3 linked regions of the Notamacropus eugenii genome follow. The protein of the gene in region 2 purifies or fractionates together with the protein of the main gene of each other region. This does not show direct contact. Links are inferred from orthologs where the notes say so. Each region holds a gene or a part of one and is shown on either strand. Other genes may lie near its edges. The genes, in order: SESN2, WDR59 and CASTOR1.

Evidence for each region.
Region 1: the proteins of WDR59 (region 2) and SESN2 purify together in Homo sapiens (affinity purification with western blotting; 4 studies listed by BioGRID and IntAct, with this or other methods). This does not show direct contact. The link is inferred for Notamacropus eugenii from reciprocal best matches to the Homo sapiens genes WDR59 and SESN2.
Region 3: the proteins of WDR59 (region 2) and CASTOR1 purify together in Homo sapiens (affinity purification with mass spectrometry; 3 studies listed by BioGRID and IntAct, counting the BioPlex papers as one, with this or other methods). This does not show direct contact. The link is inferred for Notamacropus eugenii from reciprocal best matches to the Homo sapiens genes WDR59 and CASTOR1.

The regions. Positions count from the first base shown.
Region 1 is NC_092876.1:69,382,286-69,386,028, reverse strand, and holds the start of SESN2 (sestrin-2), read right to left. Parts: upstream 2,543-3,743; 5' UTR 2,245-2,542; coding exon 2,161-2,244; intron 1,195-2,160; exon of another isoform or gene 1,161-1,194; coding exon of another isoform or gene 1,116-1,160; intron 1-1,115. UniProt on the Homo sapiens protein: Functions as an intracellular leucine sensor that negatively regulates the mTORC1 signaling pathway through the GATOR complex. In absence of leucine, binds the GATOR subcomplex GATOR2 and prevents mTORC1 signaling.
Region 2 is NC_092872.1:713,210,911-713,214,653, reverse strand, and holds the start of WDR59 (GATOR2 complex protein WDR59), read right to left. Parts: upstream 2,618-3,743; 5' UTR 2,480-2,617; coding exon 2,426-2,479; intron 1-2,425. UniProt on the Homo sapiens protein: As a component of the GATOR2 complex, functions as an activator of the amino acid-sensing branch of the mTORC1 signaling pathway. The GATOR2 complex indirectly activates mTORC1 through the inhibition of the GATOR1 subcomplex.
Region 3 is NC_092875.1:15,132,980-15,136,722, reverse strand, and holds the start of CASTOR1 (cytosolic arginine sensor for mTORC1 subunit 1), read right to left. Parts: upstream 2,279-3,743; 5' UTR 2,097-2,278; coding exon 1,984-2,096; intron 1,094-1,983; coding exon 1,023-1,093; intron 1-1,022. UniProt on the Homo sapiens protein: Functions as an intracellular arginine sensor within the amino acid-sensing branch of the TORC1 signaling pathway. As a homodimer or a heterodimer with CASTOR2, binds and inhibits the GATOR subcomplex GATOR2 and thereby mTORC1.

The sequences.
Region 1 (3,743 bases), on a different chromosome or scaffold from region 2:
TCTTCTTTGATTCCTCTAATCAAAAATGCTCTTTCCTCCTCCAAGCCCAAATTAATCCTTTGTTCACACTCTTTTGTAAGAGTTAGTTAAGTATGTCTCCATTACGTCTCCCTGTACAGGCTTCGTTGAGTTCCTAGAGGGTGGTGATTTGATTATTTAAATCAGTGGTGTAGACCTCAAATAGAAACCCAGCCCACTAATTGGTACATAAAGACGCCTGCAGGCCACATACTGACTCAGCTTTAAACGTAATATTACTTATGTTTTGATTCGTTTTTTAAATATTTCCCAATTACATTTTAATCTGGTTTGAGATGCACTGGGGAGCGTTGCACATGAACGTTTGACACCTGCGATCTAAATCATGTGTCTGTCCCTGTCCTTTAGCCCTGCACATAATAGGTGTGGCATCAGCGATCCATTCTGTGGTTGAAGCCCCGAAATGACTGGCTGGGGGATTTGGGGCTCGGGGTCTCTAGGAGCGTTGCTTTGGAAGGACTCCAGAGCTGCTGCTCTCTTGAAAAAGTCTGATCTCCAAAGGAGAGCGGACTTCCCGGTCCTTTCAGCTTTCTCAAGACAGTAGGAATATTCATTAACTTCTCGGTCACCACAGACATCTTCCGCCGCTGACCCCGAGATTCCAAAGTTTTCCACTGGGGAGTAATTCCATCAGGTGAGGGGGCATGGCCTCCGAGAGCTCGGCCTTCCTCCTTCCCCGGCAGAGCCCTCTCCTTCCACCACCAGACACACCTGGAAGTGTGTGTGTGTGTGGGGGGGGGGGGGGGGGAGTGCTATCTGGAAGGGAGAGAAGGCTGAAGCTTTCTTTTTTTCACCTCCGGAAGGGCAGTCTCTATTACATTAGCCCTAGGAGGTCGGTGAGGTCATTCTGGGTCCTCCCTTATTAGGGAAGTTAAGATGGTACAGGGGAAAACAGGAAGGTCTCTGAGGTCCGGGGTTCAAAGCTAGTCTCCACTATTACTATGCGACCTTATGAAGTCCCTTAATCTCCTACAGCTTCAGTTTTTCCCTCGGTAAAACCCAGGAGCTTAACCCGGAGGCCCCTTCCAGGACCCTGCAGGCAGTTCTGGTCTGGATATAAAGAAGTCGGGCCCTACCTGAGGAATGCCCAGCTTAACGGATCTGGGGCATCTTTCCCCCATCCCCACAGGCCGTCAGACAGTCAGAACTGAAACTTCGGGCCAAGTTTCTGGGCAAATTTTCCGAAATGCAAACAACATTCCAAGTCCTGGAAGGAGATTCGGTCAGGAGATGGTGTGATCTGAATCAGGTGAGGTTAGTCAGGGACGGCTTCCCGGAGGAGGGGATGCCCGTGAAGCTCACACTTCAACAACGTTTTCCCGCTCACAAAGCTCTTTCCACATGACAACGAGACGAGTAAGGTAGGTCGGAGGAGCGTTTAGTTCCAAGTCACAGAAGGTCCCTGAATCCCCCAGCTAACAGGTGGCTGGGCTTATCGAACGACCACTAGTTTGGGGCTGCAAGGTTCTCTTCCTCAGCCCCCTCTTGCCCGTAGGGACCTAGGTCTCCATCAAGACCCTGAAACCGCGTGTCCACCCCTGTCCAGGCAGCATCTCGCTCTCCGGGTGGTCGGGGTTCCCATTCACTCCTTTCCGCTCATCCCCCCCCCCCCGACCCCACCGGGTCCGAGGTCTTCCCTCCCGGGGTCGTGCAGAGCGACAGGACCTGGGAGCATTGCCAAGCGCCCCGAAAGTTTCCTCCGCCGCCGCCCAGAGAGCGAAGGATTCTGCCGCCACCTCCCTGAAGGCACGGTTCCAAGACCCCCTGGGGTTCCCCAGTGGAAAATCGGGAAGGAAGCGGACAAGGTCTACTCCGACGGGCCCAGGCATGCCCAGGCTGGAAGACGGCGCCTACTGGGCAAGCCGGGCCCACTCGGGAAGCCCCTCCTCCCCCAACCCCCACTCCGTCCTAAGTAGCTGTCCAGAGCTCTTCCCCCGGGAACGAAGTCGGAGGAAGAGGAGGGGGGCAGCGGCGGCCAGTTGATGCAATCCCGGCGCCAGGTTACAGTCTGCCCCCAATTCCCAGCCCCCGATCCCCATCCCAGGGCTGAGCCGGCCGTCGAGCCTGTCCCGTGGCCAGAAGGGCTGGACTCGCGGCTGGGGAGGGGTCCGCGCCACTCACCTCCGCGGTCCCTGCGCCGCCGCACTGGGTGTAGGGGATGTAGCCCTGGATTCCGGCGCAGTTCTCCGCGTCCGCCACGATCATGGTGCCAGCCAGCGCGCACCTTCCTTGCGGGGCCCGCGGGCACGGCCGCGGGGGTACAGCGCGCGAGCGGGTCCCGGGGTGGCAGGCGCTCCCGGCGAGGTGGGGCTCTGCACCTGTCCGCAGACCCACGGTCCTGCACCGGAACGGTCCGTGGCTACCCGAGGGGCGCCCCAGCTTCTACCGTGGCCCCGGGGGGTCTTAGAATTCTAGAGTGAAGAACGTCTCGGCTACCACAGCTCACAGACATCCCCGAGCCCGACTGCCTTTAGCTTCTCTGGATCCGACCTCGGCAACTGAGACCTACCCAGACGCAGGTCGGAGGGGTGGGGAGTGAGAGGGAGGGGACACAAGCCTCAGGCTTCGGCCAATCACCTACTCATTGGTCCGGCAGGAGGCGGAGACGCCTTTCCTCCTCCAACAGCTTCTCTCGACTATCTTCCAATGGGCTCGGGGAAGCGCTGGGGGAGCTGGGAGTTGTAGTTTTACCCTGGAGGATGTTGCAAACTTTTGCAAGAGGGTTACTCATAAACAAGTAAATGAGAAACGAGAGACCGAGAGTGACAGTCCCAGATAGTCATTATGATTGCATGATGAATTGCAACTTTTTAGGGACTGGGCAGGGCATCTGGGTTTATAATTTCAAACCATTTCATGCTACAGATTTTAAATTTCTGGTGAGGTTATTTAGGGTCCCTGGATGGCTTTTCGAGGTGACTGTTTATAATGAGCATTGCTGGAGCTAATTATAGGTCTGAACCCGAGGGAGTTTTAAAAGGTCTTTCAGAATATTCACTTTGCCCTCAAGCAGCCCCGCACCTTCAAACATACCAGACAAAAGAGAATCCAGCCTGTATCTGAAGTTCTGCAGAAAGGATTTCATAACTTCCTTAAGAAATTCATTCGGGTGCCTAATTTCAGCCTCTCTTGCTGGAGTTTCAGTCTTTCCCCACTCCTTTATTCTCCTTTACCAGTCTGCACTATCTGACACTATATTTAACGGTATTTAATCACCCGTTGCTCCTTTAATCACTCACTCAATCAATAAATATTTGCTGCATTCCTCTAAGTGCCAGGGCACCAAGTTTGAAACTCTTCTCCCTTGTTCAAGACATGGAACTATCTTGGTTTTCCCATCTACCAGTTGATGACCCTTTTTCCTCTCCTTATATAGATTCCCCTCTTTGATTTCCTCCTCACCCAGAAAAGGGGGCATTTCTCCTAAACTTCTGGCCATGACCTTCTCTCTCTAGGAAAGGAAGGATAGAGATGGGGGAGGGCAACGATGCAATACTATTCCTGAGTTACATTTTCCCCAACTCTCACAGGAACCCACCACCCCAGCCCAGCAGCTGAGATATGAAATGGCAGCTAGCCCTTTAAATTTAGCACAGATGGAGGCAGAAGGCATCTAGGCAGGAATGCTCTCTTTAGGGACTTGGATGACATTGGGGGAGTAGGGAAAGCAACTAGGTTACTGACACCTCCCATTTCAGTTTGGG
Region 2 (3,743 bases):
AGGTTCTCATCTGCAAAATGAAGGCTTGGCCTACAAGTCCCCTACAGCTTAAATCCATGATCTTATCAATCAACTGTAGTTTCAGAAGGCTCAACATAGAAAAGAATTTCCTCTTGCTCCTGGAAAGATGGAGAAAATTTAGTTCCTAATGGCTCCAACTCACACCCCTGAGACTCCCAGATGTACATCTGGGGTTCTGAACCTGGGATCCATGAAGATTTTTTAAATATTATGGTAACCGTATTTCAATGCAATTGTTTTTTAAAACATTCTGAAAAGTGGTCGATAGACTTCCTCAGACTGCCAAAGGGTCTACAACACAACCCCTGCCCTCCTGTGGGGGACTATGAATGTAGAATATTGCATCAGACTCAGGTGATTTGTTGCTTAGTTTTGCTAAACTGCTTGTTTTCTCACCTTTTTAATTTTCTTATGATAAAAACAAGTTATAAAATTTTTTTAAAATGACAATCCCTTAAGGGCAGGGACTGTCAGTCAGTCAATACACATTTATTAAGGGCCTACTATGTGCTAAGGGTTGGGGATACAAAGAAAGGTAAATGATGGTCCCTACTGTCAAGGAGTTCACAGTCTAATGGGGGTGGGAAGGAAGCAACTTGCAAATAACTACGTACAAACAAGCTACATACAAGGAAAACTGGAAACAATCAACAGAGAGAACACTAGAATTAAGAGGGAGTGTAAGGTTTAAGAAGACTAGAAAGGTAGGAGGGGCTACTACTTACAAAGGACTCTAGACTCTCCAAACAGAGAATTCTGATGCTGGAGGTATTGGGAAATCTGTGGAGTTTACTGAGTAGAGAAGTGACATGGTCAGACCTACCATTCAGAAAGACCATTTGGAGAGCTGAATACCAATTCTGCATTTTTGTCCCTAGCACCAATGTCACTACCCTGGTCAAGAAGCTCCAGAGAATCTCTACCGCCTCTGCTGTTGTTAAGTTGTGTCTGACTGACTCTCCATGACCCACTTTGGAGTTTTCCAGGCAAAGATACTGGAGTGATTTGCCATTTTCTTCCCCAACTTATTTTACAGATGAGGAAACTGAGGCAAACAGAATTAAGTGACTTGCCCAGCATCACACAGCTAGTAAGGGTCTGAGGCTGGATGTGAACTCAGGAAGATAAGTCTTCCTCACTCCAGGGCCAGCACTGTACTCACTGCACCACCTTACATCTAGGATCAAGTTTAAACCCTTCTGTAACTAACACCCACACTACCTGATTCCAACTTATCTATCCAGGTGTATTTTACATTTCCTTTACTGCCTGTGTGACTCTGAACAACTAACTTTACATGTGTCTGCCTCGGTTTCCTAATCTGTGAAAAGGGGATAACACCTGCCAAGGCTATTCTGAGGGTTCAAATGAGATGTCTGTAAAAGTTCTTTGGAAACCTGAACATGCTGGCTGTTACTATGAGGTCTACTTTCGTCCTTTTGGCTCTTCCTCAGGCAAGGCACAGTTTCTGTGCCTTTCCAAAGCACGCCCCTCTCTGCTATCTCTGCAGTTGCCAGTGCTTCCAACACCTGACAAGACTGGACGTTATTTTGTCTACATTACGTATCTCACCTACACCGGCTGTCTCCCCCAAGAGAACATAAGCTTCTCAGGGAAATGGCCTGGGCTGGTTTTTTGGTGTGCTTTTTTGGGGGGGAGGGGGAGGTCGGTGTATGCATCCCCAGCATCTAGCACAGGTTACTGCTTTAACCGGGTGATAACAGAGGTTCTGACACCCTCTGCCTCTGGGATGCCTCTCCGGGCCTCAGTTTCCTCATCTGTACAAGAATGGGGGGGGCGCTCTCTTCATCGACGATGACCACGAGAGATGACGTTAGGCAGAGGCCAGGCAGCCCTCGCTCGGAGGACTCCTGTTTTAGGTAGAAAAGGCACCGGTCGACTGAAAGATGCTTAATGAGCCCGACTCTGGGGTCCAGGATGCTGCTCCCCGGAAACAAATCCCCCTGACGAACTCTGGGGCTGGGGGAGGAGGGGGAGGGAGCGGGTCACCCAGCGAGGTGGGCGTGCGTCCTGCCGGGGCACTGGTCAGCTGAGCGGCGGTGGGCGCGGCACTGGCCTCGGGTCCCCCTCGGTAAGGCGGGGTGACAGCAGGCCTCTCCTCCAGGGGGGGATGGGCCGAGACAAGCTGGCTGCCCAGCCTCGGCTCGGCCGGCCCCACAGGCCTCCGCCCACCCGGGGCGGCTCTTCACGGAGGATCGCCGAAAGCCTCCGCGGCCGGATCCCGGTCCCTCCCTCCCCTCTCCTCCCTCGGGCCCGGCCGGCCCTCGCCACTCCCGGCCCATCGCGCCACCCGACACACCGCACCGGGGAGGAGGGGAGGCAGGGAGGCACGGGGCGCATGCTCAGACGGCCCCCTTCAGCCCACCCCACCCCCGCCGCGCACCTGGGAATCCCTAAACTCCACCACCACATTCTCGCTGCTCCACCGCGCCGCCATCTCCAGCCTAGCCGCCGCCGCCACCCCACGGCCGCCACCGCTGCCGCCACGCTCCTCCCCTCGGCCCCGCGCGCCAGGGTTTCGGCACGCAGGAGGACGCACCCTTCACCTCAGACCACCCCTTCGACGCCCCACCCATATCGCTTCTCGGACAGTCATTGGTTGTTCCCTCAGCGTTGGCTCCACCCCCATCCCTCGTGGTCTAGCGTGCACGCGCCCTGACAAACACAACCAGCCCCTCTCCTTAACCTCCCCTCCCCTCCCTGACCCAGCTTGGGCTCTTATCGCTTCCAGGTGACGTGACGTAATACGGAGGCGAAACCTCCTGGGCCCTCAGGAGCTGGAACCCCGCCCCACTCCGTTTTGCCCCAGGCTCTGTCGGGAATTGTAGTCCACGGCCCAGAGGAGTAGAAACCGTGGGCGGGGCAAAAGATGGGCAAGGAACCAGCTCAGGTTCCTTCTTCTCGATCTCCTAAAAAAACCCTGTTCAAGGATAGATACAAAGATGGATGAACAGACGGACAGATGGAAGAACAGACAGATACAAAGACTCATGGATGGATGGACGGGCGGAGGGTTGAATGGATTGAGAGATAAAAAGATAGATGTTAGAAATATGAATGGACAGGTAGGCATAAGGATGAATGGAAAGACAGATGACAGTCCCAGGCTCTGGGGCTAATTATGCCCTCCCTCCAACCATTCCCACCCATGTAGATTTCTCCTTTTATGCAGAAGACAGTTCCCCAAGCATTCTTGTAAACTACATCCCCAACGTCCTAAAAATCTGCCAGACAGCATCCAGAAAACACTATCGAACGTGATGAAAAGCTCCTGCTTTCAAGCCTTTAGTGGTCAGACTTTCTCTCTCTCTCTCTCTCTCTCTCTCTCTCTCTCTCTCTCTCTCTCTCTTTCTCTCTCTCTCCCTCTCTCTCCCTCTCTCTCTCTCTCTCTCTCTCTTTTTCTCTCTCTCCCTCTCTCTCCTTCTCTTTCCCTCTCTCCCTCTCTCTCCTTCTCTTTCCCTCTCTCTCTCTCTCTCTCTCTCTTCCTCTCTCTCCTTCTCTTTCCCTCTCTCCCTCTCTCTCCTTCTCTTTCCCTCTCTCTCTCTCTCTCTCTCTTTCTCTCTCTCTCTCTCTCAAATATAATTCCATTTAGAAGAACTTGCTATGCTTGCTTCTCATGATTTGTGAGAGGGAGCACATTTCAAACTGATTTTCTTTCCTTTGGATACTGTACAAAGGGAAGGGATGGAGATAAGTATTCC
Region 3 (3,743 bases), on a different chromosome or scaffold from region 2:
TGAGACCTTGGGCATGTCCCTTTCCAACTTAGGGTGTCAGTTTCCTCATTTGTAAACAGAAAGGTTTGCACCGGATGCCTTTGGAAGTTCTCTTCACTCTAGATCTTGTCATTCTTCTCCTGACTTCATTTGTGGTCAGTGCCTGGGACTGAGAGCCTGGGCACCTAGGGCCTGCTCCTGGATGGGCCCCTTGTGGGGAAGTTAAGCCAGGCAGAAGGCACAGGGCAAGCAGCACCCCCAAGCACTAGGCCCTAGGCCCTGTCTCTGAGGTCACAACAGGAAATAGAAAGGGGGGGGAAGGCAGGCAGCTTCCAGTGGAGGGATCAGGCTCATCTACACCACATCTAGCCCACGTGTTGGGTCCAGACTTGGAAAATCTTGCATTTCATCTGTCTCCATCACCTGCTGGTTCCCATTTACCCCCCAGACCTCCCAGGCCCTCAGCTGATACTGGATTGATTGCAAGATGTCACCCTGGAGTGGAGGGAGCAGAGGTGGATGTGGGGGACCTCTGAAAACAGCAATTATCAGAACCTTCCAGTGCCAACGTGCCCCAAGGGGGCACAGGACATGGAGTCTGGTGGGTAAAGTGCTTTGCGCTCTCTTAAAGCTCCCCATAGCTGTGTGCTATTATTAATATTTTACTAAAAAGGAAACTGCAATCTTGGGAAAGGAAAGTGACTTAGCCAGTATCACAAAGCCACAGCAGAACTGAGATCCAAAGGGAACAGGTACCACAAGGCTGCCCCAGAACGTCCTGGACACTGTGGCTCACCCCCTCTCCAGGGTACTTCCAGTCCATTCTGGGATAGCTGGGGCAGGGACCCAGGTGCTGCTCAGATCCATTTTACTGGGCCCTGCTGCATCCACCCTTCTCTCCTGCCCCAGCCCCGGTCCACCTGTCTTAAGCATTCTGATGACAGTGTGTGCCTGGCCCACACAGGCCAGCCAAGGGGTGCCCCTTGGAAGAGTCTGGGGGAGAGGGCCTCAGGAGACCAGGAGGAGAAACTGGAACCCAGTACCTTGGTATCCTTCTTCATCCAGCATTAGGGTGTAATCTTCAGGGGTTTCTGTCAGGCTGAAAAACTTGCACCTAAGGAAAAGGGACCACTCCATGAGCCAAGGCAAGGCACTCCCTCATCCCCCCTGGATCCCAAAGTCCAGAGGCAGAGGGGAGGGAGGAATGGCAAAGGAAGGGCCAGACTCAAAGAAAGTGAGTGGACTCTGCCCAGGCTCCAGTCAAGCAGAACCGATTGGGTCCTCTGGAAACCCTTGCCCATGAGGAGAGGGTGAAGGGGAATGATGGGTACAGGGGATACCGGCTGTTCCCTAAGCTCACCCCAGAATCCCCATCCTGGGGAAGGAGGCATACAAGCCAGTCCTTTGGCTACTAGTGCAGGGGAAGGAACCACTTCCCAAGCAATTTCCCAAGAGCTGGCGAGGGTGACCCCTGCTGGTACTCATCCCTCTGACCCACTGACCCAAAGAATGCTGGAGCTGAGAGGCCCCTTAGAGATTAGAACAGCTCACAGCGGCCCACTCCCTCATTTTACCGGAGAGCAAAGTGAGGCCCAAGGAAGGTCAGCCCGCTACCATGCAGCCCAGGTGGTGCCTGAACTCAGACTTCACAGAATGCCCCAAGTGGGCTGGAAGAGCCACCATGAAGGCAGTGACGTTCAACACCTCCCCCCGCCCCGCCCCCGTTAATACAGCGAGTCTAAGAACAAGGACAAGTCCAAGCAAGCTGGGGGGTGGGGAGGGGCGGCTTCGGGGCGTCTCTGGACAAGTCACTACAGTCTCTCCGCATCTCAGTGGCCCCTTCTGTACAGTGGGGATAATAAGGGCCTGCCGAGGTGGCTCGGGAATCGAAGGCGATAGTGGGGCTGGAAGGCGAGAGGGAGCGAGGTGGTCCCCAGCCTTACCCCCAGACCCACCCAGAGCCCGAGCTGGGGGAGGGGCCCCCTCCTCTGGCCTCAGCCTTACCGGCTCCGCTGGCGCAGGAAGAGCAGCTTGACAAGCGGGTGCGTGTAGAGCCAGAGTCCGGGGCGCGCGATGCTCAGCACCCGGACCCGGTGCTCCAGGATGTGCAGCTCCATCGGGGGCCCGGGAGGCCGGGGGCTGGGAGCTGGGAGGGGGCCGCTGCGGCTGCGGCTGCGGCTGCGGCTGCGGCTGCTGCTGCTGCGGCTGCTGCTGCTGCTGCTGCGGCTGCTGCTGCCGGGCCCCTCAGCCGCCCAGCCAGCGCCAGGCCCCGGGCCCTCCTCCGCCAGAGGCTGCCCCAGCTCCGGCTCCGCTCGGCCCCGCCCCCGGAGTGCCCGCCCCCGTCACGCCCCCTCGAAACTCCCTAGGCCACGCCCCGGGCCTCGTAACGCTGGGGTTCAGCCAATACCCTAGCCAAAGCCTCGGGGCCACGCCCCCCCGGCTGGCCCATCTGGAAGGGGTGGAAGTACCGGGGTGAGGAGGCGGGCCCCACGCGCGTCCCGGGGGCCACGCAAAGCCACGTCCAGGAACCCTAGGAGGCTGCCTCGGAGTGGAAGGGCTCCGCGAGGATCGGTCTGGGCAGGGTGGTCCAGGCCACACCCAGGTGGGGTGATCCAGCCTCCAGACGGTGTGGCTGGGGAAGGGGGGCAGAGAACAGGCCCAGAACAGACCCCCAGCTCCGCTCTCCCAACTTACTCGGTTCGACGGACCCTCCCCCTCTCCAATAAGGGCAGGGGCGGACTTGGGGCCACAGGGCACTAGATTCCTGGTGGAGCACGCCGACCCACCCCCTCGTCTGAGTGTGAAACCTCCCTCCCACCCAAATACAGAGGTCACAGGCCCAACGTCCTCATTTTAGGGGCTCAGAATGGGAGAAGGGCCAAAGACCCCAAAGTGCTTCCCAAGAGCTGCATCCAGGTCCCCAGGGGCTCTTTCCAGTGCTGATCCCCCTCTCCCACCTTTTACTGTCGGTAATCGGTACGTTTTCCCCACCTTCCCAGAGCTCAGTCCACAGCGGATTCTAAGTGAAATGGATGAATACCATCCGTAAAGTAAAATCCAGAGGAAAAACCATAAAGAAGGCAGTTTGGGGGAGAAAAATGGAATATATACCAGTATGTGTTTGAAGATGGGCCAGAGATGGCAGATGGGTTTCGCCTTCAAGGACAAGAGTTCTCCTATTTCTCGGTTAGAAAAGGGGAAGGCATTCCAGGGTCTTCCCATTGGTCCAAGGGCAGGCAAGGAGTATTGAATTCTGCTCTTCACACACAGGGTCATAAAGACCAAACCCACCCTCCTTCCCCCAAGAATCTCCCTCTTGCCCAGCCACCTCCCAGATCCCTTCCGTCAGACCCAGAGCCTAAACGTGATAGAACCAAGGAAAAATTCTTGACTCCCAGGCCAAGGATCAAATTTATGTTATCTAATCCCCATTAGGCTCCCTCTGCTGGCATCTGATCTCTCTATTCGTCTTTAATTGACTGTTCAAAACCTCCTTCAGCCTCCCAGGATGCCAGGGCTTCTCCTCCTGCCCACCCCCACTCAGCAGAGGGCCTCCTCTTTGTACAAAATAAGATCTTCCTTCTTTTCTACCCCAGCCCTCCTTCATTCTCCTCAGGGATTTTATCTGATCCCATCTTCCCCTCTGAAGGACCCACCCGGCCCCCTCGAGAGTGCCCCATTCAAGCCCCACCCTCTCCAGGCTCCTCCCTCTCAGCCATCAACAAATTCTCCACAGTCCTCTCAGCTTCAGAACTTTCCACTTG